Linked DNA regions of Elephas maximus indicus. The protein of the gene in region 2 purifies or fractionates together with the protein of the main gene of each other region. This does not show direct contact. Links are inferred from orthologs where the notes say so. Each region holds a gene or a part of one and is shown on either strand. Other genes may lie near its edges. The genes, in order: SYTL4 and RAB27B.

Evidence for each region.
Region 1: the proteins of RAB27B (region 2) and SYTL4 purify together in Homo sapiens (co-immunoprecipitation; 3 studies listed by BioGRID and IntAct, counting the BioPlex papers as one, with this or other methods). This does not show direct contact. The link is inferred for Elephas maximus indicus from reciprocal best matches to the Homo sapiens genes RAB27B and SYTL4.

What each region holds. Positions count from the first base shown.
Region 1 is NC_064846.1:57,576,437-57,591,701, forward strand, and holds the start of SYTL4 (synaptotagmin-like protein 4), read left to right. Parts: upstream 1-8,765; 5' UTR 8,766-8,894; intron 8,895-9,392; 5' UTR 9,393-9,476; intron 9,477-15,265. UniProt on the Homo sapiens protein: Modulates exocytosis of dense-core granules and secretion of hormones in the pancreas and the pituitary. Interacts with vesicles containing negatively charged phospholipids in a Ca(2+)-independent manner.
Region 2 is NC_064829.1:63,458,517-63,474,366, reverse strand, and holds the start of RAB27B (ras-related protein Rab-27B), read right to left. Parts: upstream 7,449-15,850; 5' UTR 7,163-7,448; intron 1-7,162. UniProt on the Homo sapiens protein: Small GTPase which cycles between active GTP-bound and inactive GDP-bound states. In its active state, binds to a variety of effector proteins to regulate homeostasis of late endocytic pathway, including endosomal positioning, maturation and secretion.

The DNA.
Region 1 (15,265 bases), on a different chromosome or scaffold from region 2:
GTAAAACCACAATGAGATACCACTTCACATACCCTGGAATGTCTATAATCAAAACGACGATGATAACAAGTGTTGGTCAGGATGTAGACAAATGGGAACTCTCATACATTGCTGATGGAAATGTAAAATGGTGTAGCCACTTCAGAAAGCAATCTGTTTGGTCCTCGAAAGGTTAAACATAGAATTACCATATGATTCAGCAATTCTATTCCTAGGTATATACCCAAGAGATCTGAAAACACATGTTCAAAAAGAAAGAAAGAAAGAAAAAAAACCCTCATAGCAGCATTATTCATTGCTTTTGTTGTTTTTAGGTGCCATTGAGTTGGTTCTGACTCATAGTGACCCCATGCACAACAGAACGAAACACTGCCCAGTCCTGCGACATAATCACAATTGTTGCTATATTTGAGCCCATTGTTGCAGCCACTTTATCAATCCATCTTGTTGAGGGTCTTCTTCTTTTTCTCTGACTAATTTACCAAACATGATGTCCTTATCCAGGGACTGGTCCTTCCTGATAACATGTCCAAAGTATGCGAGACAAAGTCTCGCCATCCTCGCTTCTAAGGAACATTCTGGCTGTATTTCTTTGTTCTTCTGGCAATCGCTGGTATTTAATATTCTTCGCCAATACCATAATTCAAATGCATCAATTCTTCTTCAGTCCTCCTTATTCATTGTCCAGCTTTCGCATGCATATTAGGTGATTGAAAATACCATGGCTTGGATCAGGTGCACCTCGAGTGACATCCTTGCTTTTTAATATTTTAAAGAGGTCTTTTGCAGCAGATTTGCCCGATGCAATACATCGTTTGATTTCTTGACTGCTGCTTCCATGGGTGCTGATTGTGGATCCAAGTAAAATGAAATCATTGACAACATCAGTCTTTTCTCCGTTTATCATGATGTTGCTTATTGGTCCAGTTGTGAGGACTTTTGTTTATGTTGAGGTGTAATCCCTACTGAAGGCTGTGGTCTTTGATCTTCATCAGTAAGTGCTTCAAGTCCTCTTCACTTTCAGCAGGCAAGGTTGTGTCATCTGTGTATCACAGGTTGTTAATGAGTCTTCCTCCAATCCTGATGCTGTGTTCTTTTTCACATAGTCCAGCTTCTTGGATATTTGTTCAGCATACAGATTGAATAAGTATGGTGAAAGAATACAACCCTGATGCACACCTTTCCTGATTTTAAACCACACAGTATCACCTTGTTCTGTTTGAACAACTGCCTCTTGGTCTATGTACAGGTTCCTCATGAGTACAATTAAGTGTTCTGGAATTCCCATTCTTTGCAATGTTATCCATAATTTGTTATGATCCACACAGACAAATGCCTTCATACAGTCATTAAAACATCTTTATGGTATTCTCTGCTTTCAGTCAAGATCCATCTGACATCAGCAATGATATCCCTCATTCCACATCCTCTTCTGAATGTGGCTTGAATTTCTGGCAGTTCCTTGACAATGTGCCGCTGCAAGCATGTTTTTAATTATCTTCAGCAAAATTTTACTTGTGTGTGATATTAATGATATTGTTTGATAATTTCTACATTTGGTCGTATCACCTTTCTTTGGAATGGGCACAAATATGGATCTCTTCCAGTCAGTTGGCCAAGTAGCTGTCTTTCAAATTTCTTGGCATAGATGAGTGAGCGCTTCCAGCACTGGATCCATGTCTCAAAACATCTTAATTGGTATTCCATCAATTCCTGGAGCCTTGTTTTTCACTGATGTCTTCAGTGCAGCTTGGACTTCTTCCTTTAGTGCCATCTTTTCTTGATCACAAGCTACCTCCTGAAATGGTTGTACATCAACCCATTCTTTTTGGTATGGTGATTCTATGTATTCCTTCCATCTTCTTTTGATGCTTCCTGCATTGATCAACATTTTGCCCAGAGAATCCTTCAATATTGCAACTCAAGGCTTGAATTTTTTCTTTAGTTCTTTCAGCTTGAGAAATGCTGAGCGTGTTCTTCCCTTTTGGTTTTCTAACTCCAGTACTCTGCACATCTCATTATAACACTTTTCTTTGCGTTCTGGGGCCAAGCTTTGAAATCTTCTGTTCAGCTGTTTTACTTCATCATTTCTTCCTTTCGCTTCAGCTATTCGACATTTAAGAGCAGCTTTCAGAGTCTCTTCTGACATCCATTTTGGTCTTTTCTTTCTTTCCTGTTTTTTTAATGGCCTCTTGCTTTCTTCATGTACGATGTCTTCAATGTCATTCCATAACTTGCCTGGTCTTTGGTCATTAGTGTTCAACATACCAAATCTATTCTTGAGATGGTCTTAAAATTCAGGCAGGATATTCTCAAGGTAGTACTTTGGCTCTCTTGGTCTTGTTTTAATTTTCTTCAGCTTCAACTTGAACTTGCATATGAGCAATTGATGGTCCGTTTTGCAGTCAGCCCCTGGCCTTGTTCTGACTAATGGTATTGAGCTTCTCCATTGACTCTTTCCACAGATGTAGTTGATTTGATTCTTGTATATCACATCCAACCAGGTCCACATGTATAGTCACTGTTTATGTTGTTGGAAAAAAGTATTTCCAATGAATAGGTCATCGGTCTTGCAAAATTCTATCATGCAGTCTCCAGCATTGTTTCTATCACAAAAGCCATATTTTCCACTACTGGTTCTTGTTCTTTGTTTCCAGCTTTTGCATTCCAATCATCAGTAATTATCAATGCATCTTGATTGCATGTTTGGTCAATTTCAGACTGCAGAAGCTGGTAAAAATCTTTAATTTCTTCATCTTTGACATTAGTCATTGGTGGGTAAATTTGAATAAGAGTAGTATTAACTGGTTTTCCTTGTAAGCGTATGGACATTATCCTATCACTGACAACATTGTACTTCAGCATAGATCTTGAAATGTTCTTTTTGACAATGAATGCAACACCATTCCTCTTCGAATTGTCATTCCTTGCATAGTACAACATATGATGATTGTCTAATTCAAAATGACCAGTATCAGTCCATTTCAGGTCACTAATGCCTAGGATATCTATCTTTAAGCATTCCATTTCATTTTTGACAGCTTCCAACTTTCCTAGATTCATTCTTCGTGTGTTGCACGTTCCTATTGTTAATGAGTGTTTGCAGCTGTTTCTTCTCATTTGGAGTCATGCCACATCAGCAAATGAAGGTCCTGAAAGTGTGACTCCATCATTAAGGTAGACTCTAATATGATGAGGCAGCTCTTCCCTGGTCCTATTTTGAGTGCCTTCCAACCTGAGGGGCTATCTTCCAGCACTATATGAGACAATGTTCTGCTGCTATTCATAAAGTTTTCACTGGCCTATTTTTTTAGAAGTAAATCGCCAGGCCCTTCTTCCTAGTCTGTCTTAGTCTGGAAGCTCCACTGAAACCTGTCCTGTTAGAAATACCGGTGGCATAGCTTCCAGCATCACAGCAACATGCAAGCTAACACAGTACAACAAAATGATAGGTAAGTGATGGGCATTATTCATGATAGCCAAAATGTTGACACAACCAAAATATCCATGAACTGATGAATGTATACACAAAATATGGCATATCCATAAACGAGTATTATTTAGTCACAAAAATGAAAAAAAAAGTAACATCACGAAAAATGGCAGAGTAGGGAACTTCAAAGAAACCCTGGTGGTGTAGTGGTTAAGCCCTTGGCTGGTAACCAAAAGGTCGGGGGTTTGAATCCACCAGTAGCTCTGTGGGAGAAAGGTTTTGCAGTCTGCTTCCATAAAGATTACAGTCTTGGAAACCCTATGGGGAAGTTCTCCTCTGTCCTATAGCGTAGCTATGAGTCGGAATCGACTTGATGGCAACAGGTTTTTTTTTTTTTTCTCCTCGAATGGCTGTCATTAGCTACTGGATAAAATACAAATTGTTTCAGATGACTCACAGGCCTCTGAAGATGTAGCCCCTGACGATCTTTCTAGCCTCAGCAATCATCACTTTTTTTGTTAAATTTTATTCTCTGGCTACACCTTATACATCCTTTGCATATACCAGTGTTTCTAGCCTTTTTCCTCTTGCTTATGCTATTATTCTGCTTAGAATGCCTTTCCTCCTTTTTGTCCTAGCTAATTTCTAATCATCCTTCCAGATTTAGAGAAGCATCCTCTTGCAGAGACCCTTCACTGACCCACCAGACTGCCATAAGTGGTCATCCTAGGTGCGCCCACACAGTCTGTGCATCTCTCTAGCTTTGCACTTCCCACAAGGTTCTGTAATTTTATGTTTGTGGTTTTCCTCCACCCCCATAAACTGTGAGCTCCTTGAGGACAAGGATCACCAAAAGCCCAGTGCCTAGTACCATATACTTTGTACTAGTAGATGCTCAATACCTATCTTTGAATGAGTGACCTTTTTTCAGTGTTTGTTCATCTTCTATCACATCTTCTTCTTATTAAAAAAAAAAAGAAAAACAAGCCCATTGCCATCAAGTTTGTTCTGACTCATAGCAACCCTATAGGACAGAGTAGAACTACCCCATAGGGTTTCTAAGGAGTGGCTGGTGTATTCGAACTTCTGACCTTTTGGTTAGCAGCCAAGCTCTTAACCACTGTGCCACCAGGGGTCCTCTTCCTCCTACAGCGACTCTACCCAATAGATGCCAGGAGCAACACCCCCAGCACTCCCAGTTGTGACAACCAAAAACATTTCCAGACATTTGGTATTGCCAAATGTCCTGGATTAAGAACCACTGGTCAAGATATACTAAGCATTCATTATATGCAAAGCATTTTAGTAGGTGCTCTTCCTATAGCACCTACTAAAATGCTTTGCATATAACAGGACTGGGCAGTGTTTTGTTCTGTTGTGCATAGGGTCACTGTGGGTCAAAACCAACTTGACAGCACCTAACAAGTATATCTTGACCAATGATTCTTAATCCAGGATACTTGGAAATATCTGGAGACATTTTTGTTTGTCACAACTGGGAGTGCTGGGAGTGTTGCTACTGTCATCCAGTGGGTAAAGGCCAAGGATTGTGCTAAACATCCCATGATGCACAGGACACAGCCCCCACAATAATGATTTGGTTTAAAATGTCAATAGTGCAGAGGTTGAGAAATTGTGATTTTGACTGACTGAGAGACTGAATCTACTTTTTACATCCTGTACTCACTGTAGATCACTAGTGCACTAAATTTGCTTTGTGAGGAAACCTGCTTTTATTTTTGTTTTGTTTTTACAAAAGCAAACTTACCTAACATGAGGTAAAGAGGGAGGGCCCCTGTATCTGGGATTTAAGACTTTGTCAATTAAAAAAGTATCTGATCAACAGAAAAACAGTTACATAAATTGCAATATGTTTATGCCCTGGAATGGTCTACAGCAGTGAAAATGAATAAATTAGAACTACATATATCAACATGGATAAATCTCATAAGCATAACGCTGAGTGAAAAAAGCAAATATCAGAAGCTACATACTATTTATATAAAGTGTTTAAAAACTACATTTTTTTTTTTACTTAGTGATAGACAAATATGTAGTAAATGTATAAAGACATGCATGGAAATGATGAAGGCCAGATCTGGGATGGTGAAAGCCTCAGATGGAGGATGCAAGAGGCTTAAATTGTATTGATATTGCCTTGTTTCTTAAGCTGGGTAGTGAGCGTGTCCTTGTTATAGTATTCTTTATAGATCCATGTATTTTTTGAAATAGTTAACACTTTTTTTTTTTTAAAAAAGTAATTGTTCAATAATGAGGCATCTTGTCAGCTAGGGCTGTGGAAAATCTCCGTCTTATTAGTTTGCACTAGCTAGAACTCCTTCAACGTGGCAAAATCGAACAACTCATTGAAACCAATCATTCACTATGGAACAGGAGTTTACATACTATACATAAGATGATAATCCATAAATTCCTGCTTACATTTTTGTACAAGGTAGTACCTGAGTTTGGTCACATTGGATCCCTCACAATATTTAGTATAAGAATTTGAGCATAGAATCCTTGTGACAGAGGAGGAGGATCAAACTGGGCAACAGTATGCAGAGCACAGAATGCATGTAAACCAGCCATTTCCTAACTTTGTTTTGGTTCATTGTTTCTGTTTGTCTCTCTCTGTGTATTTGTAACTGAGTCAGTGAGATTGTCTTAGAGAAGAGGCCAACCTTGGAGAGTGGGACACTGCATATGTAGAAAGAAGTAAAAGCTTAAAATAATATCTGGAAATTTTGCAATTTGCTGAGGAATAAGGAGGTTGGACTACGTGTTTTCTGAAGTCCCTTCTGGTTGAGGGTGTTACCAGCTTCCCTCAAGCACCCCAGGTGAAGTAGGAACAGAGAAATGCTTGGTCTGAGTTCCCACAGCCCAGGGCAAGACAAGAGCCTGGAACTTCCTCCCCTCCTTCCCGGTTTGGGACATGGAACACATTAAAAGCCCAGGGCTGAGCAAATGGGCCCCAAGGGCTGAATTGGCAAAACTAGACAGACAAAAAAAAAAAAAAAGGATTTGCTTTTTGAAATGGCTCTTCTACACTTCAGGCTGGGGGCAGGGAATTGAAGGGCTAAAGTAGGGAAGAGAACTCCAGGTAGAGCCTGGGAGTGGAATTCTACTCTTTAGTCTTTTAAAAATTAAAAATTTTCTTTTCTTTCTCTTTATAATATTAAAAAAATTATTTTTTCATATTATCAAAGCCATACAAGCTCATTATAAAAAACTTGAAAAATATATAGAAGCAGGAGGAAAACTAAAAATTCATTCAATTCCACCACCTAGAGACAGCCACTGTTAATATTTTGGCATATTTCCTACTAGTCTTTTTTTCTATGCATATCATCTTCCTCATTTTTGTTAATTGTTGTGATCATCTTATATATTAAATTTTGTATCTTACTTTCAATTAATATTATAGTATATGCATTTCCCTGTCATTGTGCACTATGTATAAAATGAGTTGTTTTTTTTTTTTGCTATATAGTATTGCGCTGTATGAAAATACTGTAATTAACTTAACTATTAAACCATTGGAGCCCTGGTGGCGTAGTGGTTAAGAGCTTTGGATGCTACCCAAAAGGTCGGCAGTTCAAATCCACCAGCTGCTCCTTGGAAACCCTATGGGGCAGTTCTACTCTGTCCTATAGGGTCGCTATGAGTTGGAATCAACTCCACAGCAATGGGTAGGTAGGTATTAAACCCTTAGGTTTTTTCCTAGTATTTTATTATTCTAAGGAATGCTGGGATTAACATCATTGTACAAAAATCTTGTGTACGTCTCTGTTTCCTTGGGACACATTCATTCATTCATTAAACAAATATTTATTGAGGGCCTACTATGAGCCAGGTAGTATACTAGCTGTCAGGTTTCGGCCTTGAGTGGCATGTTTTCATTAAGTGAGATAGCAAACGTCGGAGAAAGAGCAAATATAATAGAGAAGATGGTGGATTCAGTTTTGGATGTATTGACTTTGAGGTGCCTGCAAGACATCCAAGTGGAGGTGTCAAGAAAGCAGAGGTCAGTGAAGAGGTCTATGTAGAACAATATGATTACAGCTGTGGCCGTGTATATATTAATTAAAGCTAAGTGAGTGAAAAGATCATTTAGGGAGAGAGTATATGTAGCCTGAGAACCTCCAACTTTTAGAGGTCAGATAGCAGAAGTGGAACCTACAAAGGAGACTGAGGAGGGGACAAAGGGGTAGGACGTAAGGCAAAGGCGTATGGGGTCATAGATGCTACAGGAAGAGTTTCAAGGAGGAGGGAATGGTTAACAGTGTTAAATGCCATGGAGAGGTCAGCAAGACAAGGCCTGAAAGTACCCTATTGGTTGGATATCTTTTGCTGCACAGTTTCAGCAGAGTGTTGGGGAAGGAAGCCAGATTGCTGAGGGTTGAGAAATGAATGAGAAGGGAATGGAAATAGCAAATGTACCTGTAAAGTACATTTTCAATAAATTTGCGTATGAAAAGGAGCTGGAGAGTAGGAAGGATATTTTATTTTTTAAGATGGCAGAGACTTGAACACTGTGTAATTGCTGATGACAGATGAGAGAGACTTGAGCATTTAAGTGACTTAAGAGAGGGAAGGATGGAGGAGAGGAGATAGGGAGGGAGAGGAGGAGAATGAGAGAGAGAGAGTGAAATCTACAATTACTGGGTAGATAGGAACATTTTAAAGTCTACTGATATATATTGCTCCCGTGCTTTATTTTCTAAGTTTTTTTTTACTAACCTACACTCCAACCAGCAAGTATGAGAGACCTTGTTTGGTGGCCACTTTGTCATCATTAAGTGTTAAAATAGCAATAATATAAACCTTTGCCAAAGAATCTCATTTTTGTTCTTATTTGATTACTAGTGAGTTTAATATTTTAACCAGTTGTGTCCGTGTGTGTGAGTGTGAATTTCGTCTATGTTCTTTGCCCAACACGTTTGTATTTTAACCACTGTTACTTACCATAAAAGGCCGAAAGTCAAAGGATCAGAATGGTGTCACATTTTATCCTCCCGAATTATATAGTCCAGAGTCTTCGTATTCTTGGAAGTACGCGACAATTTGACAACTTTGGCTCAGCTGAGCGGAAGAGGTAGATGATTTTACCATCTAAGAAAGTGATCACAGATGTCTAATCTTAGACCCCTGTCCTCAGTCTCAAGGTCTTTTTTCCTAGCCTGGGAGGACACACTCTACAAGTGTCTTAAGACTCTGGCTCCCCAAGCTCCCCTTTAGGGGAGCGGTCCCCTACTTAGGAGCCCGGAGCGCTGTGCGGCCCCTTTAAGAGTGCAGCTCCTCCCCGCTCCAGGGAAAGTTGCAGCTTTTTCCGCCTCCCTGGAGGGTGAGAAGGGCCGGCCGCAAGAGCGGGGTGGCAATCTTCCAGGAGCTGGAGACCCTCCCCTGAATCCAGCACTGGGACGTCTCGCCTTCTCGCGGCACCTGTTGCAGGTGACAGGTAGGTCCGCAGCCAGCGGCCCTGAGCCCTCGGTCCGGTGCTCCTTCTGGGCCCCCAGCCCCTATTCGCTGCCAAAGCGTCCCCCCACCCCCATCTCAGGGACCTGCGTCCTTCCCTATCCCCCTTTGCTTCTCCCTGTCTATACTTGCCCCTAGCAGACCGCCTGTCTCCTCTCCCCTGTCCGCCCCTCCGGACCGCTCCCCCCACACGTTGAGTCCGATCTGCTTGGGGCGATCCCCTCCCACGAGTTTTTTTTTTTTCTCCCAGGCCTGTTCTGGTCCCCTTCCCCTGGCCCACCCGTCGCTAACGCGTGCTGTTGCCCTCTGGGCTCTGCCTCCTGGGGGTCTCCGCTCCCACCGAGTGTCCCAGCTTTTCCCGCCCGCCGGAGCCGGTGCCCCTCCCGCAAGCAAGCCTTAGGGGCGGGGGTAGGGCTGAGCTCCTAGCGGGAGCGGCGCCCTCGGAGGCGTCGAGTCACCCTTCCGTCGGTTCCTCCCGCAGCGCTCGGCCGTCTCTGCCCTACCCTGACTCCGGACCGCGGACCTCGCGGCGTCGGCTGCCCTCGCCTCGGCTTGTCCTCCGCAGGTAAAGGCTGGAGGCCAGTTGGCCCCGAGTCCTGCCTTAGTGGGCTCCCTCTGCGCTTGGGGCTGGGGACCCGGGCTGTGTGCTCTGGAGCCCAAGTGCTTTATCTTGCCAATCTTCAAGCAGGTTTCAGGAGTTTGCTCCTGGAGAAACGTTCCAGAGCCCTCAGAGTGGGACACAGAACGTTTCTGTCTCCTGTGATGGTTTGTAATGGGGCAGAAAAGGTGTTCCTCCAGTCCTTCACTTTGAATGAGATGGTTGGGAGTTTTTTGGTGGTGAAATCATTTGGTTTGAACGCTGGTGGCTTAAAAAGGCACCTGCTTTTCATTAACCAACCTTTTCTTTTTCTCCCTGCTTCTTCTGGACCAGAGGACCTAGCATTCCAGAATACTGCTTTTGGCAGGGTTGACCCTAGACCTTGTACATTTGTGGCAGAACTTAGTCTTCAGTATATCCTGGATCTCCTATATTTAACTGGCTTCTTTTCTGCTCTTGCACCCCTCACAAATCCATTAACATTAAGGCATTAATGATCTAATTTGTTTACCCCGATGATCTGTGGCTAGAGCAATGTTTAATGCAGAGGTGAGGCCCAGATGCAGTGTATGTAGATCTATAAGTACATGTATTTAGCACCAGCTGGAAATCTTAGTATATAAAAAAAAAAAAACACCAACTTGGCTTGTGAGGCTTTTCTTGGGCAGAGGATGAACATTTCTGGTAATACCATTTCAGGTGCCTCACTCCAGAACAGATGAGTGAAATGGAGGTTAGATGCCTCTTCTGGAGTAATTGGTCTGTGAGTGTATGTAGCATTCTGGTGAATGTTCTCTGAGTTTTTTCTCCTTAAAGGCTGTTACTAATAATGGTTGTTAGAATTCATTGAGCCAGGCACTGTGATAAGTTCTTTACATAACTATCTCATATAATCCTCAAGATAACTCTATGTGGTAGGCACTATAATTATAACCATATTATGATGAAAAGAAGACTCTGAGAGCTTGAGTACCTTGCCCCAAATCACCCAGCTGATGAGGGGCTGAGCTGGGCCATCTGACCACAGAGTTTGTGTTCCTATCCTCTGTCATACCACCTCTACCATCTTAGATGTTAGGAATGCTAATAGCTCGTGGGTGAAGACTGTGACTAAAAATTTTCCTTCCACACTGAAGCATAAATTTTGGTCCTTAACTTACCTTAGATACACTGTGGTGATTCTGGACCACTTATTTCACTGATTTATTTACCCACCTTGCTCCAAATGTGGGACCACTTGTCATGTTGCCACCATAAGCACACACCCCTGAGTGTACCCAGATGAATGAAACCTCCCAGGCTCTCAGCTCAGTAGTGATTGTCCTGAAGATAGGAGAAGGTAACCCTGGATTCTAGGGATGTGCTCCTGGATCAACATTTTCCTTTCCTGCTGGCGAGGGGAGAAACAAGGGTGCGGTAGGTGATAAGAACTTCCCAACAGCCAGGCCAGAGAGCCTGAGGGAGACTGTGTGCTTGTTTTATCCTGGGATGAATAGGTTACCTTAGGCAGGGAGCCCTGGTCCTGGTGCAGTGGTTAAGAGCTGTGGCTGATAACCAAAAGGTTGGTAGTTTGAATCCATCAGCTGCTCCTTGGAAACCCTATGGGCCAGTTCTACTCTGTCCTATAGGATCCGTCTATGAGTCAGAATCGACTTGATGGGTATGGTTAAAAAAAAAAAGCAGGGATAATATGATCCCATCTCTGGGTCTTTGCTCACATTGTTCCTTTTTTTTTTCTTCTTCCTGAAAAGCTAGCACGCCACCCCTTACTTACACCCAGTCATTAATTTGTATTCATCTCTCAAGATTTAGCTTCTCTGGAGGTTAGGGTTAGGCTTATCTAAAGTCACCTCCTTTGATACAATTTCACTGAACACCCAGGCAGAATTACTAGTTATGTCCTTCATGGTTCATGGTATATATGGTGTATCACCCACTTTTTCCGGCTTTCAGGTTCTTTGGTTGTATACTTTTACTGCTAAAAGTATTTGCTGCCCTCCAGTGGGGACTTGCATAATGGAGAAAGATGAAAGAAATGTTAGTTGAAGCAAAATAGCTGGGGTATGAGGCTTCTGAGTTAGGTAGTGCAATCAGGAAGTATGATTGGGTAAAAATTTTATCCCTTTTGGCTTTTGTACCCCTAGATAAGCCTTGTAAAAATTTTTATGGTTTCCTGTGTGATAGGGAGCCCTGATGGGTTTTGGTTTTTTTTTTTTTTGCTTGTGTGTGTGTCATATTTGGAAAACCGGAAACCCTGGTGTCATAGTGGTTAGGTGCTACAACTGCTAACCAAAGGGTTGGTAGTTCAAATCCACCAAAAATGTAAACACACTCCACGACTCAACATGGAGCCCTGGTGGCACAGTGGTTAAGAGCTCAGGCTGCTAACCAAAAGGTCAGCAGTTCGAATCCACCAGCCACTCCATGGAAACCATATGGGGCAGTTCTCCTCTGTCCTGTATGGTCACTATGAGTCAGAACCAAGTAGCCAGCAACAGGTTTGGTTTTTTGTTTTATGACTCAGCATGCTTCCATTAATGAAAACACATGGTATCAAAAAAACAGAAAGTAATTGGACCTTGAAAGGGTTTTTCTGTGTCCTAAAGCACTTTGTTTACACCTCAGTGGAGTCCTTAACACCTCTCCTAGTTGTTTTTTCACCTGAAAGGTTGTTACTTCTTTAAGGGCAAGGTCTGGATCTCAGAGCTCAATTTGTCCTAAGCACAAGGGATTAACAAATGTTTGTGCTAGGAACTGGGGACACAGTGCCCTAAAGGACCTGAGATCTGGTAAACTACAAAAGACACCTTCCTGAGGCACTTAAAATCCTGCAGCTAAGCGTTTGTACTTAAATGTCACCTTCTCAGTGAGACCTTTGCTGTTTTTAAAATTGCAACCCCTTCCGTGAACATTCGAGATCTCCCTTCCCTACCTTATTACTCTAATGTAGCATACTGTGTGTATTTTATTCATTTTTCTTATTGTCTGTCTCCTCCCACTATCACATAAACTTCATGTGGGCAGGGATTTCTGTCTGTTTTATTCACTGGTAGATCCCAGCACCCAGAAGACAGCCTGACACATCATAAAAAAAAAATTTTCTTTAGGTACTTACTAATATTTGTTAAATGAATTAATGAATGACATTACTGTTATATGAATTGGCACTCTTTTGTACTCTCCTGGACCTGAAACTAAGCTTACCCAGTTTATCGCCCTACAGCTGTGAGGGTACCCCACACCCAGTTCTCACATAGCTTTCCTTCTGTTGAGTTTTACTTTGAGATTGCATTCCTGATGACCACTTTGACCTAGTTGGCAGCGCTTCCTCTCTCCTATTTTAAAGCATAGGTCTCTGGTGGAAACTTCGAAAAGTGAAAATGCTGTGCTTCTCGACTCAACGGCACTGGGTCTTGTTGGTAGGAAGGGGTCTGTGCTGAAGCGGGCAGTGTGGATTATCAGATGTCTTGAGGCCTTTCACAGGCATTTGGTTTCTCAGTAGGATGCTGGAGAAAAGTTACTGTGTGGTCTGGGAAGTGAATAGCTGAAAAGACTCTAAAAACCAAAAAACCAAGACCGTTGCCTTTGAGTCGATTTTAACTCACAGTGACCCCAAGTGTTATAGAATAACATTGCTCCGTAGGGTTTTCTTGTCTGTCATCTTTACAGAAGCAGATTGCCAGGCCTTTCTTCCATGGCACTGCTGGGTGGGTTTGAGCTACCAATCTTTTGGTTAGCAGACATCACAAACTACTTGTGCCACCCAGGGACCTTATAAGATGCCACAGATTAGGTTTCTTGCCTCCCAATAAAGTCACTCTTACACCTTTAGGCATGAAGTGGTTATTGGGTTATGAACTTTACAGAAAAGCCATAGCTGAATGAATGCTACTTGTTTAGTTTGACAGTTTTTGTACTAGGATAATTACGCCGTGTGAGGAAACTACTAAGTAACATAAAAGAAAAAAAAATTACTCTTTTCTGTTTAAATGTTTTTAAATATTCAGAAAGAAAAAAGGCCCCAAACCAAACCAAACCAAACCAGCTGCTGTGGAGTTGATTCTGACTCATGGTGACCTCATGTGTGTCAGAGTAGAACTGCACTCTATAGGCTGTGTGTGTGTGTGTGTGTGCGCGCGTGTGCGTGCACGCGCGCACCTGCACTTTAGGTGAAAGTTTACAGAGCAAATTAGTTTCTCACTCAAAAAATTTATACACAAATTCTTTCGTGACATTGGTTGACATCTCCACAGTGTGTCAGCACTCTCCCCCTTTCTACCCCGGGTTCCCTGTTTCCATTTGTCCAGTTTTCGTGTCCCTTCCTGCCATCTCATCTTTGCTTTTGGGCAGGTGTTGTCCGTTTGGTTTCATAGACTTGATTGATCTAAGGAGCACGTTCCTCACCTGTGTTATTGTTTGTTTTCTAGGCCTCTCTAATCTTTGACAGAAAGGTGAACTCTGGGAGTGGCTTCAGTTCTGAGTTAGAAGGGTGTCTGGGGTCCCTAGTCTCAGGGGTTCCTAGTCTCAGGGGTTCCTCCAGTCTCTCTCAGACCAGTAAATCGGGTCTTTTTTGTGAATTCTGTTGTACATTTTTCTCCCGCTTTGTCCGGACCCTTTATTGTGATCACAGTCAGAGCAGTTGATGGTGGTAGGCAGGTTCCATAGGGTTTTCAAGGCTGTGACCTTTTGGAAGCAGACCACCAGGCCTTTCTTCTGAGGCACCTCTGGGTGGGTTCAAACCACCAATCTTGAATGGTTAGTAGCTGAGCACTTAACCATTCATGCCACCCAGGGACTACCCCCCACCAAAAAAAAAAAAAAGAAAAAAACCAGGCCAGAATCCCTCAAAAGACAGGCTTGGAAGGAGTTGGACCCTTCCTAAGGTGGTAAATATATGATTCTCCACCATTTGATAAACATTAATGTTTTTGAAATTTGAATTTGTTAAAAAACAAACAACAACAACAAAATTGTGCTTGGTTTCCTCTTCTGATAAATTTATCTCCCAAATTTGTTTAAAAAACAAACAACAACAACAAAATTCTGCTTAGTTTCGTCTTCTGATAAATTTTTCTCCTCTAAACATTGGAGTGACCCAGGGGTCTCAGTCTGTAGATTCTTCTCCATCCAAAATCTTCCCAGAGGATCTCATCCAGCTCCATGGCTTTAAATGATGTCTATCTATACACTGATCACTCCAAAATTTATGTCTCTAACCTAGGCCTTTTCTCTAAGTCCTAGACATATATCCAATAGCCTAGTCAGCATCTCTACTTGGATGCCAAATAGAGATCTCAAACATAATATAACTGAAACAGAACTCCTGATTCCCCCCCTGTCACTAGTCCCTCCCTTCATCCTCTCCCATCTCAGTGAAACGGCACTATCATCCATTCAGTTGCTCAGTCCAAGGACTGAGGGTCACCCTTGGTTTCTCTTATTCTCCCAACCCCACATCCAGTTCATCAGGAAGTGCTGTCAACATTATCTTCAAAATATATCATTTATTCTGCCACATGTCTCCATTTCCTCTGCATATCACCCACTCCAAGCAACCACAAGGCTGCAATGAACATTCTTGCACAGTGCTCAAGGATACACACACACACAAAAACACACACACACACACGTTTCTGTGGTATAGCTCCCTAGAAGGAGAAGTTCTCAGTGAAGGGATATGTACTTTTAAAAATTTGAGTAGGCACCGCCAGAGTGACACCCAAAAGAGTTTACACTCTCACCACTGAGAGTGCTTT
Region 2 (15,850 bases):
TGAACTGAGAGCTTCTCCACTCAGGAACCCCAGGTCCAAAGGACACACTCTGCTCCTGGTGTGGCTTTCTTGGTGGTACGAGGTCCCCATGTCTCTCTGCTCACTTCTCTCTTTTATATCTCAGAGGAGGCTAGCTTAGGACACCATCTAAATCTTGTAGATCTCATCAACATAACTGCCACTAAGCCATCTCATTAACATCATAGTGAAGAATTTACAACACATAGGAAAATTACATCAGATGACAAACTGGTAGACAATCACAGAATACCAGGAATCACGGTGTAGCCAAACTGATACACATATTTTGGGGGAACACAATTCAATCCGTGATACTACTTAAAGAAAATTTAACTTGGTACTGTGGTTACAAAGATGAATGAGATATAGTTCCTGCTCTTAAAGAACTTGGAATCTGGCAGTGCTCCGACAGAATAACATAAATGATATTGTATTCAGAAACTAAGAACCACAGGTATATTTAACGTTTCTCTCCAATTATTGTTATACTTTAATAATGGTAAATATATATAATTAGCTATATAACCTTACATTTCTAAGTCCTTCTAAGATTTAAATGTCATTATTAGCTCAAGCAGATCCGTAATGACAGAAAAGAAAGAAAATCACCAGTCCTTTCTTATGGTTACTACTTTTCCTCTTTCCAGTGCCTCCCTGGGAGATAGCACGTGGTCTCATGGATTTTAGAGATCACATTCCTGTTAGTATTTCCCAATCACTATTACCAGCCTGACCTCTCCTGGGAGGTTCAGATTCCTGAAGTTATTTTCCCGCTGAACATATTGGATTGGATTCCACAGGTACCTCAGATACACTATGTCCAAAAGTGAACACTTCCTTTTCCTCCCTCAACTTGCTCTGCCTTCTCTGTGCCAGATTTTAATTAATGAAACCACGATTCATCCATCTATTTCATCATTAAAGCCAGCAATTTAAACTTAATAAAAATTTCTCCTTTCCCCCAATAGCTGGTCAATACCCACCCTTATTAATTATTTTTCTAATCTGTCTTTTCTTCTCCAATCTTATAATCACTGAACTCATTTCAGATTTGTTTTATTTCCCGTTCCTAACTGATCTCTCCATTGTTTTAACCCCCTTAAATATATCTTCCACTTTGCCATCACAATACTGCATTCAATTCACCAACTTTAACCTTAAGAGGTTACACTAAAATTATCTGCTTATGTATTTCTCTACCTTACCAAATTCTAAGTTATTCAAGAGCAGGAACTATGTTTTATTCATCTTTACAACCACAGTACCAAGTGTGGTACTGACACATAGTTTGCATTTAATGATTTTTTTTTTAAATAAAAAAATCAGACAGAAAAATTATACCAGAGGTTAAATTGCAGTTATCACGTTTAACATTTTGAGAAGATCTTTTATTGTAAAACATAACATTGCCAACTTTAATACAACTCACATGGCATTTTCCCCCAAGTTTATGCTGATATACCATAGGCAGGATTTGTGCTCCCCCAAATGCCAATAAGCCTAGGATTTCTTATTTTTATCCTTTGAATTAAGTGACCCACATACCATGTTCCCTTCATTTGTGAGTTCACTCTCACCTTTATCTAGGAATTGCCTGCTTTGTAATCTCAAATGGAATGAATTATACCAAATACATAGACTCCTGGGAGAAGAGGGTGCTGATTTAAAGAAAGATCCAGAAGCAGTACTAATGAGTTTAAGCATTCTACTTTTGTTTGCTTGATTTTTATAATAATTAAATGAAATATTAAAATCTAAAGACATTTGGGGAGACGGTATATGCAAATTTCAAAATAAGTAGTACTTAATGATGGCCTCGGAAAGTGGAGAAATGGAAACCCGAAGTTGCTCATTTTATTTTATTACTACTATGCAGTCTTTGGAGTCCCTGGATGGTGCAAAAGGTTAACCTGCTCAGCTGCTAACCAAAAGTTTGGAGGGTGGAGGCGACCCAGAGGCACCTTGGAAGAAAAGCCTGGTGGTGTACTTCTGAAAAATCAGTCATTGAAAACCCTATGGAGTACAGTTCTACTCTGACACACATGTGGTCTCCATGAGTCAGAATCCACTCACTGGTAACCAGTTTTATGGAATCTACATCAACTAACACACCATTTCTAACTGAAGATTATAGGTTTTTCTCATAAAAAACAAACAAACAAAACCCATGGCCATCAATTCAATTCCAACTCAAAGCAATCCTACAGGACAGAGTAGCACCACCCCATAGAGTTTCCAAGTAGCAGCTGGTGGATTCCAACTGCTGTCCTTTTGGTTAGCAGCTGAGCTATTAACCACTGTGCCGCCAGGGCTCCTTTTCTCATATGATGGCCTATTTATCTAAGCCTGTTTCATTATGTTGTAACCCTTAGTTATAAATACCAGAATGTTTTCATTAAAGTGAAAGATATGTCTTGCAGAATTGTTTCTAATAGAGGCAGTTTACTTCAAAGCCCTGAGAGGTGGGGTTTGATGACGGACATTGCCAACCTTGGAAGATTATGATCAGTGATTGAACAGGAGTGGGCGTGGGACTGGGGTTATGAATAACAGTTTCTATGTAGTTAGTTGCGGTATATACAGTTTACTTAAGGAGTTAAAAAATTAGCAAATGGATTGCATTTCTCCTGCACTTCCCAGCATTTGGGAAAAAAACTTCAGAAAATCAGAGGCATACCACAGTCCAAGGAGGCACTTAGTCAATATATGGCAACTCTTGACATTGGAAAAGGTCTCTGCATTTTTTTTTTTTAAGCACTAGGAGATGCCTAGTTTTCCTTTCCCTCCTTGAAAAAAAACTAATTCTATTCTATATTTTTAATACGTCCACATGTCCAGAAATATTTATCAATAGTACATCGGGTTTATGAAAATCACATACGTTAAATAGTAAAAAACTGAGCTATTCTTTGAACAAACTACTCAGGCTCTGAGGACTTTACACAAGTTAGATCGGACAAATATAATACAAGCTTAAAATAATCTATTCCTTTTATTCTACACAGGAGAAGATCAAGGCCTTGAAGAGACTGAATGTCATACCCATAGCTGTACACTACTCAGCACTAGCAATATTTGATTGATGATAGACTTTCTAATGGTTTTTTTCAAATCCAACTAATTTTGACATCCTCCTCTGCAACATCCTTAAATGTTAAAATAAAGCAGAACTTGGTCCTCAGTGCTATACTTTTTTCTCTACCATCTCTCTAGGTGATAACCCTCAAGAGAGTGGCTCTAAATAGCATCCATAGGTGGTTGAATCTCAAATTCCTGTATTCGGCTCTGACTGACTCCTTCCGCGTGCTCCAGATTCATATATCCAAAAGCCCAAATTGGTATTTCCACTTGGATACCCAAAAAGACCTCAAGTAGATGGATATGAACTCCTAATTTCTCTTTAAGATCTGTTCCTCCCCTAGTTTAGTGTTTTTTTAGGAAATGGCTTTACCATCTACCTAGTTTGTTCAGCACAAAATCTAGTGATCATTTTGTTTCTTCTTTCTTTCATTTCCCACCCTTCATCCAATCTGTCAACACAGCTTGTCAGCTCTGCCTTCAAAGACTTTCCTAAATCTATCCATGTCCCTCCGTGACCACATTCCAGCTCTAATGTAAGCCACTGTCATCCCTGATCTACAGGAATAGCCTCCTCACTTGTCTCCCTATGTCCTTTTTGGATGCCCTACAATCCTTCTCTTCAAGGTTGCCTAAATGTCACCTTCTCTGAGACTTATCCTGACCACTGATCACACAGAGTCTCCCCAGATCACTCTCATTATCTTCCCCTTTATTGATTTTTTTTTTCCTTTTTAGCACTGAAACTTACAGAACTATTTATTTACTTATTTACTTATGTGTCTGTCTCCCCACACTAGAATGTAAGCTCCACGATTGCAGAAGCCTTGTGTGTTTGATTAACTTCTGGTGTCTACAGTGTTAAGGAGTCCTTGGGTGGTGCAGTTAACCCACTCGGCTGCTACCTGAAAGGTTGGCAATTCAAGTCTACCCAGAGACACCTTGGAAGAAAGGCGTAGTGATCTCCTTCTGAAAAACCAGCCATTGAAAATCCTATGGAGCGTCATTCTCCTCTGACATGCAGGGGGTCACCATGAGGCAGAGTTGGCTTGACAAGCAACTGGTTATACACAGTGCTTAGAGAGTACCAAAGTTCACAGTGTGTTCAACAAGTATTTATTGAATGAATCTCTGACAGGCTGTATCCAAATCATAGTGTCCCCTCATTTCACTCAGAATAAAAATCAAAAGTCAGTACATTGCTGATGACCCTCAAAGCCCTCTGTGATCTGGTTCCATTACTCATCTGACTGAATGCCTTCCGCTCATTCCCTTTTCTCCATTTGTATGGGCTTCTTTCTGTTTGCTTGCTGTTCCTTCAGTCTGTAGTCCTCTTTGCCCTTACATCCACATGGCTCATTCCCTCACTTCCTTCTAATCAATACTCAACTATCACCTCAGTGAGGCTTCCCTGGACACCGTATCTAAAATTTCAAACAAATTTCTGCATTTCTCCTCTGCTTTTTGGCATTTACCTCTACTGTACCATAGATTTAGCTTGTTTGACTTGTTTACTCCCTATCTCCCAGGTAAAATGCAAGCTGAGGGCAGGGATTTTGTCTGTTTTATTCACATCTGCACACACAGTGTCTAAAATAGTGCTCCCGTCTCCTGTTGCTCGGCACTCAATAAGTATTTGTTCAAGAAATGAATAAGCAGTTTAATATATTATCTTTCTCAGTAAGTTGAGCGGTGGTTTAATTAAAAAGACTGAACTTACTGAAAAATTTTTGGCTAGTTTTTAAACAGGGTTTTATTCTCATTACTGATAACCAAGAGAAGCTTCCCTCATTTAAGGAGTATCCATGAGAGACGAGGGAAGGTTAATATTTGGAGAACATGAATAATGATCACAAAAGTTGTGAAATACATTAATACTCTCAACTCTATATAGGGTTTACAATAGTTTAGTTAATTATGGTTAGTGATGTTGTGACTTCCTGCTAATACCTAATAAAGCTAAGCTCCATATACGCCTACTAATGGGTGAAAAGTCATCCTCCTTTAACAGCCCTTATAAGCAAGTGGCATGCTCTTCATGTGAAACACCCAGGTTTGTGCTGTCTGCTTTGACTGCAATCATTTTCTTACATATCCCCATTATAATTACTTGCTTAAGAGCCAAAGTATTGGTTAACCTGCCAGATCCTTGATTCATGAAACTGGAGTAATTGTGTGCAGAGCTTTTATGTGAATAGTTGGTCTACATTTCACGGTCTACTGAACTGAAAAGCTAAGGAAATGAATCAGAAATTTCCAAGTGTGAAGGTGGGAAAAGAGCAGATTTCTGTTCTGAGCCACCTGGGGCTTTGGATCACTTCCACCTTTCCAGAAGAACAGTTAAATAAATGAAAAGCAATTCTGAAACCAGCAGATAGTTTTAGCATAGCATGGTGTGCCAAGGAGTTGAGAAGATAGATTACAGTAGAGTTACCTTCCTCATTAGGTCAAATATGTCTGTTCCAGACTGGCTGATGAGAAAGGAGAGCTGTGGTTTGCTTACATTTGACAGATTCCCTTTATCCCATCTTGGCAACTCTGAGAACAGGCTCATCCAGTTCCATGTGAAATGTTTTGTTTTCCTTTCAAAAGCAACGACGGTAATATTCTACGGTGTTCATAGTTCTTAAGCAGAGAAGCCTCATTAATATTACACTGTCAAAATTACCCCTTTTTGATCATCTGTAAGAATCCTCTTTTGCCTTCAAAAAGACCTAATCCCATCTGGGTAGAGGATTATGCTGGGAAACTAGGAAAAATAACTATTTGGGGGATGTGAGACAAGTATAGCTCTCACTTGGTAACTATGATTTGGACATTATAGTAGCTTGAGAATTCAGTGAACTTAAATACCTCGGGCCATAATGCTGAAGTCCAGCTTTTCTGTCAACTCTTCAAAGTTTAGCACTATAAAATCCTGCATATGACGACACATTTTTATTACTGAGTATGTGTATAGATAAATTTATATTTACATAAGTGTGTACATATGTGTACATAAGTATATATAAATAAACTTATATATGTAAGTGTACATATATAAGTGTATATATAAGATATATAAATAAATGTGTTCTTATATATAAGACCTTTAACTAGATGCCGTGAACAGTACATATTTTCCTTTTAAACAGAATTAAATCAATAGTTATGGCTATATTATATTAAATAACAATTCTGTTGCTAATAACTCAGAAATTTCATGTTATTAATTAGGGCTTAGTTTAATAATTTACCATTTAAAAAACTGGAATCTTATGCCCTTAATTTTAGCTCTTAAATAAAGAGCTGGTAAACATGCCACAGGTGTGATGACTTTAACCAAGCTCAGCTTTTCCCTTGGAATGCTTTCTCTGCTTTTACTAGTTACATTTCACCTGCTCTATTAGTTTTCAGGTGCTAAATCAGGTAATGTTTCCTTAGGTAGGAAAATCCTGGACACTAATTTATTACGATCGCTTGAACAGCGCGCGCACACACACACTGCAGCAGCAGCACCACTTAAACAGAACAAGAAGTAACAGAGCCAAAAATTGGAAAACAGAAATTCCTCTTGATTTCTCAGTGGCTATTTCACTTGAAGAAGTACAGAGAAATGCCCTAGCACGCACTTGCCTGACTTGCCTATGTCAGGTTTCTTTAAACACATTATTTTTGTTACTATTATTATTAGTAGTAGCGATATATTTATTACTACTATTACGTTTGGTTATTGGTTTTGAGATACAGATAGAAGGACATCAGCATTGCTGTGCCTAGTTTTTTGTCCCAACCAGCTGTTTGATAACGCAAATACCAAAACAAAGACAGCCGGCCAGAGTTTTCGGATGGCATCTGTGCAGCACACATCCTTGGGTCGTACGCGTGTATTTCTGCAGGAAACCGCAGGTCCACCGCGCTCCACCCGGAACCAGCCCGGTCCCAGGCACAGCCTGCAGTCGCGCCCCTTCTCCCAGGCCTGCTGCTCGCGTCCACGTCTCACTTCCCTTCGCAGGCAGCGCCGAGAGCTCCCTGGATGGGTGGGAACGCATTTCAGCAAGAACAGCCCGGTTTCCCTACTCACCAGCCAGCCTGCGAAGTTTTCTCGGCCGACACGGTTGGTGTCAGATTTCAGAGCGGCTCCCTGCCCCTCTCCCGAGGCCTTAAACTCCTGGGCTTCAACACCAGCAGCAGCACGGGACCTGCCTTTGCCAGGCGTCTATCATGGGGACAACTCCTGTATCTCCAACCTGGGACCCTGGATCTGTCCCCAGCCCTGCCCGGCAGGACGGCAAGTGGCGGGACATGTAGCACCACCCCTTGCAGCCGGCCTGAGACGCCGGGATCTGAAAGGTTTGTGTGAGAAGAAGGCGTGTCTCCCAGCCCCAACGCGGATGTGAGGAGCTCACCTCAGGCATGTCTTGCTGGTGACTCAACTGCTGGGATAACAAACACACTTGGCTTTTGGTGACATTCTCTGCGCTGTAGGGCTTCAAACCCTAGCAGTGAGTTCATCTTATTCAATTTATTTCTCTGGGTTTTTCTTCTACGTCTCTGACTCGAAGAGCCCCGGGCACTGGGAAGAGAACTGCTTCAGATGCATAATATCCTCTCAGAGGGGAATAGGTTCCCTTATCAACTAGAGAGAGCAAAGAATTGCAAGTGGAGGACAGAGAAGGGCCTGGGGAAAGAAAGGGGGAGCTGGAAAGAAATTCCCATTTTAAAAATCAGTTTTTACTCATACGTGTTGCCGTCAAGTCGATTCCAACTCATAGCGACCCTATAGGACAGAGTAGAACTGCCTCAGAGTTTCCACGGAGCACCTAGTGGATTCAAACTGCTGACCTTTGGTTAGCAGCCTTGCACTTAACCACTACACCACCAGGGTTTCCCGATGTGTTCATATATCTGTCAGTATCACCAGCCCTCCTTGCTTTCTAAAGTCAATTCAAGGATCAGAAGGATCCCTGGTGGTGCAACGGCTAAGCGCTCAGCTTAGGAAAATATGGAAGAAGTTCTTATTTTTTTGTATTTTTTTAAATAATATTTTATTGTGTTTAAGGTGAACATTTACACAGCATATTAGGTTCCCATTTAACAATTTCTACACAAATTATTCAGTGATCTTGGTTACATTTTTCACAGAGTGTCATCGCTATCAATCATACCATTTTGGTTGTACTATTTCCAGTACTCTAGTTTCCCTGCCCCCTTATGTTCTCATCTTTGCTTTAGAGTAATTTTTGATTATTTGGTCTCAATGTTCTTATCTTTAAAACAGGGGTAACAATAATGCCTCCACTGGGTCAATTTGAGTAAATGAGTTATCTAAGTAAAATGCATACAACAGTGCTTGGCACAATAAGCTCTATGTACATGTTGGCTATTATTATGTTGGTACACTTAATCTTCCCCACTCTTCGCTGATTCAGACCAATGCATTTAAAAAAAAAAAAGAAAGAAAATTCTGATCTACTAGGAGAACATATATGAGTTTCAGGTTGTAGATTTTCAAATTATACATGCTGTAATCAATATTTACGGTAAATCAGCTTTGCATCTATCAGCATATCCATATATGCAAGTGTGTGTGCCTGCAGATGTGGGTAGAACTAAAAGGAAGAACATAGCAATGTTGAATTTATTCTACTGTATGTATTGTTAATTTTAAAATGATTCTCTGGGCTATCTAATGATCATCTGTATTCTTTACCTAGTTTATGCCTTCACTTACTAACTTTAATCCCAATAGCTACTATTTCCTGTATATGATAGAGTTTATAAAGCCCTTGTCCATAGATCATCTCATTTGATTTTCACAACATTGCTTTGAAATAGGCAAGGTATCTATTATTTTTATTGTCCCCATTTTAAGAGTGAGGAAACTGAGGTTGAGGAAGTCCTAACAAATTGCCCAGAATCATGAAGTTCAGGAAAGGCAGAGCTCTGACCTGTTAGGTCCTAAATGTGGACCTCATGGTGGTTACCACATGGTACTGCCCCCCTATTATTTCTGGAAAAAGTTTCTGCCATGAGACAATCTAACACACTTTATGGTCCTCTCTCCTTGTCACTCTTCACCAGATTAGTGTATCAGCTGTCTCCTAGAATCAACTCTGGCAGGGACAGCTCTCCTGGAGTCACCCTTTCCACAGACAGTCCTGTATTTCAGGTTCGGAGGCTCAGATCCATTAGTGTTACCTAGTGATGCTCCCTGAGAGTGGAGGGACGTGTCCTCCCTGTGGGAAGAGGAGCTCCAAGGAGGAGAAGGCAGTGGGGGGACATGAGAAAAACGTTGTTTGCCCACTTCTCAAAAGTCACTTTGACCAGATGTAGAGTAGAATAGAAAGATACTAGAAAACCAGTGAAAGCAAGGTGACAGCATCACTTGTCATAATATAAAAGAGCTTCCTGTACCTGAGCTTATGTAGCACAAATTAAATAGACATCATCTATGTCTTCAACAGGATTATAATTCAGTAAACAGATATATAAATGTACCTAGGGAGATATCTAGTTAAAAATGGCAAATCAATCACACATGTTTTATCTCCTCTTCTCCAAACGCCTATAAAACAAGAGTAAATGAATTTTTAAATAGTTATTAACTCCTTGTTGTTATTAGGTGCCACCAAGAAGATTTTGACCTATAGTGACCACATGTGATAGAGTAGAACTCCTACGTAGGGTTTCCTAGGCTGTAAGCTTTATGGGAGCAGATCGCCAGGTCTTTCTCCTGGGAGCTGCTGGGTGGAATTGAGCTGCCAACCTTTTGGTTAGCAGCCAAGCGCTTAACCATTTGTGCCACCAGGGCTCCTTAACCTGTAAGGAGAAATAAGAGAGAGAGGAGACATCAACAGACACAACAGATGGCAATGGATTTGGGGAAGAACCTAAATCAGATGAAGGCCGTCACTGATTTGGAAGAAGAAGGAATTTACACTCTGCATGCTGGCTGGAAAGGTTAAGGATAAGAAGCCAGCTGATTCTCCCTGCCTAGCCCTGGAGGCCCAGGCCTAGGAGGCAGAGGTGGTGGGTGAAGACAGGGGTTTGGTTAGAAGTCTGTATAGAGTAATGCTGGGAGCCAAGTTCCCTTTCTCCATGCTATGCAATCTACTAACCATAAGCTCTCCATCTGCCCAACCTAGCTGCCAGGAGATCGAAGGTTTATTTTCTGGAGAAGATAAACTAGAGTAATTTGCAGTTCAACAAGATGAACTGGACATATGCATTCTTATCTCTGCTCCTACAAAACAGGAATAGAAAAGAAATTTATACACAAGAAAAACTTTTTGAAAGTTAAACTATACTCAAAAATTTCAAAATATGATTTAGAAGATTAAGTTGGAAAAGTCTTTAAGAAAGTTGAGTAAAAAGATATAGAAATAAAAAAATAGCTAATGAATAAAGCTTTTCTGACTAATTGAAATCTCAGAAAGTTCCAGGAAAGATTTTTTTTCCTATCCAGAAAAGATGGAAAAATTAATTAATTAAATGATGGAAAACAATTCCAGCAATGAAGGCCATGGACTATTAAGATCAATAGTTTCACCTAAAGTCTAGGGAAATAAATTTTAAATCAAATTATATACACCGAGGTAACTTGGAAGAAAGGCCTGGTAACCTACTTCCAAAAAATCAGCCATTGAAAACCCTATGGAACACAGTTCTACTCTGACACACATGAGGTCACTATGAGTTAAAATTGATTTTATGGCAACTGGTTAACACCCGGCACAGGTGTGGGTATAATTGAAATAATGGGGACACAGCAATTGAATTAAGCCTAAGCTATCATATAACCTCATGTGGAGGGTAGGGACAGACAAAGAGACAGCAAGAGAGTCTATGTACATATGTGTGTAAGGCAACCACTCCTCAAATATTTTAACAGAAAGTCAATAAATAATATGTAAAATTGCTAAATAAAGAAAAAGCAGAGTAAGCAAACCATTTAAAATATGGAAGTACAATAAGAAACCACTAGAAGAGTCAAAACATTTGCCTGTGGAGACTGAGACTGTGGCCTAGGAGGAGATCTGTTCTACTTTATAAGAACTTTAATACCATTTTACTTTTTTAAAAACTATGAGAATTTATTACCTTAATAAAAAATAAAATTAATATTCGCATAACCTTAAAATATAAGTAGAGAAACAAGACATTTGTTCAGTAGAGAAAACATTAAAATTAACATATTTGTATAATCAAACCAAAACCCATTGCCACGGAGTCGATTCCTATTCACAGCGACCCTATAGAACAGAGTAGAACCGGCCTATAGAGTTTCCAAGGAGCACCTGGTGGATTCAAATGGCTGACCTTTTGGCTAGCAGCTGTAGCTCTTAACCACTATGCCACCAGCGTTTCTCACACACTTGTATATTTTAATATGAACCAAACCAAACCCATTGCCATTTGGTTGATTCTGACTCATAGAGACTGTATAGAACAGGGTAGAACTGTCCCGTAGGGTTTCCGAGGAGTGCCTGGTGGGATTTGAACTGCTGAACTTTTGGTTAGCAGCCATAGCGCTTAACCACTATGCCACCAGGGTTTCCACATTTTAATATAATACTCTATAAATAGTGGAGAAAGTGAATTTGGGGTGGAGAATGTAGATAGATGTAAGGAGTTTGCACAATCATTTATTCATTCAACAAACATTTATGAAACAACTTGTGCCTTGAAATCTGTTAGTCACTGGGGATACAGCAGGGAACATGACACAAGGATACAAGATATTCCAAGAGAAAAATGAATATTTTTAAGCTTTAAACAACTATGTTTGGTTTCTTTTCTGTTTCCTCAGTGGTATGAGCCTTTGAATTTATATTTGGGTCAAAATAATGCCTTCCATACTCAAATCTTAAAAATTACTGTCTTCTCTCTTGACTTGAATCCCACGCTAATGAGATCAGAGGTTTCCTAACTAGGTCTTCTCCTGGGATTGCAGGGAAGGGTTTGCAGGAAGTCTTACATGGGTGTGCCTCCACTTACTTCAGTTCACGAGGAGTCTGTCTAATCACAAATGGAAATCAACCCCTCCCCAGTTTGAGGAAACCCCACAGTCTGACTAATATGTCACAAGACTAAACTCCCAGGTCATGCTAGTTTTCTTAGCCACTTTCAAAGATGTGACTTTAAGAAGTATATATGTTTACGTGACTTTCTACTAAGGAAATTGCTTCAAATACGTAACACGTCAAGACCTGTTTTAGGTATTAATTTATTAAACTGGACGTGTTCATTCAATTATATCTAGAGCATCTCTCCACTCTATGGTGAGGTCTTAACCTTCTCACTTCTAACCTTTTTGCTTCAGTTTCTTAGAATATGAAATGAAGATAAACGGGGGCCTTACACAGAGAGTGTTGTAACTTAGTCCAATTTTTTCTTCCAGGAAAAGCACAAATGCTCCCATGAGTAATGTTTGCCTATGGCCTTTATGCAAACCCTGCTTTAACAAGAAGCCACAGTAACATAGTGAGAGTATGCCATGATTCTGCCTATGAATGGCATTAGACCTCTTTATAAGAAAAAAAAATTCTCTAAGTATGATTACAGACAAAGTTACAATTATAAAATTGTTAAATTTCTCAAATTGATCAAGAGATGAAAATCCATATTAATAACAAAACTAAATGCATAGTAAAGTCATTATGGCATATGTGTACATACATACAAACACATTCATATACACACATACAGTCATGTATCAATATATATAATGGCATGTGTGAATATAAATATAGTCATATATAAGCACATGTGAAATATGTAATTATATTTGTTTTTTACTGCCTTTACAGTGAGATAGATACAAAATGAAATATCATATGTGCCTACCATATAAACAAAACATTAGTACATGGTGATTCCTTCATTATCTCAAAAGATGTTACCAAAAAACTGTATTCTTTGTTGACAACCTTTGCTGCTTTTTAACTGAAAAATAACCAACACTTCAAATAGTGATGTCACAGACTCAGAGGTAATTATTAAGTCTTTCTCAAATTGCCAGCCTTTCAACCAATTATCAGCTAATTTTTCCAGGCATCCAAACTAACAGTGAAGTAATTTCAGGCAAGTATGTCTTTCCCCACTAAATACTCTTTTGTTCAAAATAAAGTGCTATGTGAATGTCCCATTATATGAGAGATCTTGGAAGGATTCCAATATAAGAAAAGTATTTCTTTTTTGAGTTGTCATTTTGGGAAATGCTCTTGCATTATACTTGATCATATATGATATTAAAGATAAGTCACAAAAATAACAGCCAGGAAATGAAGGTTTAGTCATAGCAAACAGTTTCATACTACATGATTACTTTCAAAACTATATTTCTAAGAAATAGCAGGAGTGTCTAAGTAAGCTTATATGTGAAACATGGTATATTCTATTTTTGTCATTATACAGTAAATGTTCATAAGCCCATAATGAATTTCTATTGCATTTCTAATAAATATGTTTAAGTATTCTATTTTCAAACTGACAAGGAAATTCAAAACATTATTCTCAATTTTACTTTGCCATTTTTTTTCCGTGACCTATAGATATAGGGTCGCAATGAGTCAGAATCAACTCAATGGCAGTGGTGGGTTTTTAGACATTAAGGTATAAAAAAAAATGGCAAAGTAAACATGAGAACAATGTTTTGGATTTTCATGTCATTTTGGAAATAGAACACTTAAACATATTTATTAGAAATTCATTATGGGCTTATGAACCTATACCACACTGGTGAGAAAAAAAGAATATATACCATGTTTCATATAATTATAATGTAAGCTTACTTATTAAGATACTCCGAATATCAAGACACTCCTACTATTTCTCAGAACTTAAAATGTAGTTTTAAAAAATAATCCTGTAGAGTGAAGTATTTTTCACTCTACAGGATTAGTTTTTAAAACTACACTGAATAAGAAAAACAAAATTAATAAGGAAAACTAAAGAAGAATTGATGCCTTTAAATTACGCTATTGGCAAAGAATATTGAATGTACCATGAACTGCTAGAAGAAACGAAAAAATGTCTTGGAAGAAGTATAGCCAGAACACTCAGTAGAAGCAAGGGTGGCGAGACTTCATGTCACATACTTTAGACATATTATCAGGAGGAACCAGTCCCTGGAAAAGGACATCACGCTTAGTAAAGTAGAGGATCAGTGCAAGAGGAAGGCCCTCAATGAGATGGACTGACACAGTGGCTGCCACAATGGGCTCAAACATAACAATGATTTTGTGAATGGCACAGGACTGGGCAGTGTTTCATTCTGTTGTACATAGGGTTGTCAGAACCAACTTGATGGCACCTAACAACAACAACATAGATTAAGGGATAATGTGATAGAAAGGTGAAGTTGGAGAACCTGAAGCTATGCCTGCTAACTAAAAAAACATATATCCAACAGAATGGTCCATATCTGAAAGAACTGCATAGATTAGCGCCACCATTAAGAGCTTGAATCACACAAGGGTGGTGATTCCCGCCACATCTCCATAGACTGATTTCCTTGACCAGTGTAGAAGATGGATGGCTCTGCAAGCATGATAGTGAATACCTATGAGCTTAATCAGATGATAACTTCAGTTAATCCAATAGATACAGACCCTAATACTTGGTATATTTGAATAGGTGGCTCTAAGTCAATTACTGAGTTATCTACCAGGGTCTCCAACTGCTCCAGGTTTCAAAAAAGCACTTGTGCTTCTTGTACTTTATGGCCCAGGAGATTTATGATAAATGAAGTATTTGTAGCAGAGTAGGATGTCTTTCCTCAACTCATTAGTGGCAAAACTGAATTTGTAACAATCAGAAAAAAAGTGATCCAAACTTGGGTTTAATGACTGTGCCTTTAAGATCTTATAACACTGGCCATCACAATTTGAAATTTTCTTTCTTTTACTAAACTGCCAGTGTTTTTAAGATTCCTTAGCTTTTCCTGCTTGAGACTATCACTATAAAGATAAAACTATTATCCATTCTAAAAACTTCTCTTATAAACTTTGAAATAAAATATTCATTGTGTGTATATGTTGATATCTGTGTATATATGTGTATATTTCTTTTCCTATATCAAAAGTTAATACCTTCTTCATTTAATCTATTAAACCAGCAGAAATAAGAAAGTTTTTATCAAAATTGATTCCTTAAATGTCGTTGTTATGTAATTTGGAGTCAGAGAAACTCAAAATTTGCAAGGGAGCAATCTAGGTTAGTTTCCCAAACTCTTCTTCAAGGAACCCTACATCTGAGAGGCATTTATAATTTTGTATGTGTGTGAAAAGGGCTCCATGGTCAGACTACTTTGCCAAATGCTGCTTCTGCTACTACCTCTGAAAATCCACAATTAGCATTTAACACATTAAAATCTCTGTAATAATGAAACCACTTTGCCCTTATTTAGTCTGTCTCATCCAAAGTAATTTGAAAATAAAATTTCTTTACTCATAATACTCTTGCTTAACATCTCCTCAAATTATTGTTCTCAGAACATCTGTAACTTCATTTATTCTATGGATGAAGAAAAGTAATTGTGTATGACAAAACAGCCAACATGGCAACTCATGTCCTTACTACATTTCTGTGTGCCAAACACGACAACTCATATCCTCTATTCATTTCTATTTGCCAACCAATCGTCCGAATGTTACCTAGATTTTGAAGTCCCATTGAACATGGCATGTTTATTTCCTCTCCATCCCAAAAGTCCAACATATGAAAAGGAAGAAATTAGAAGGGCATTAACTCATAAAGGTGCCGTTGA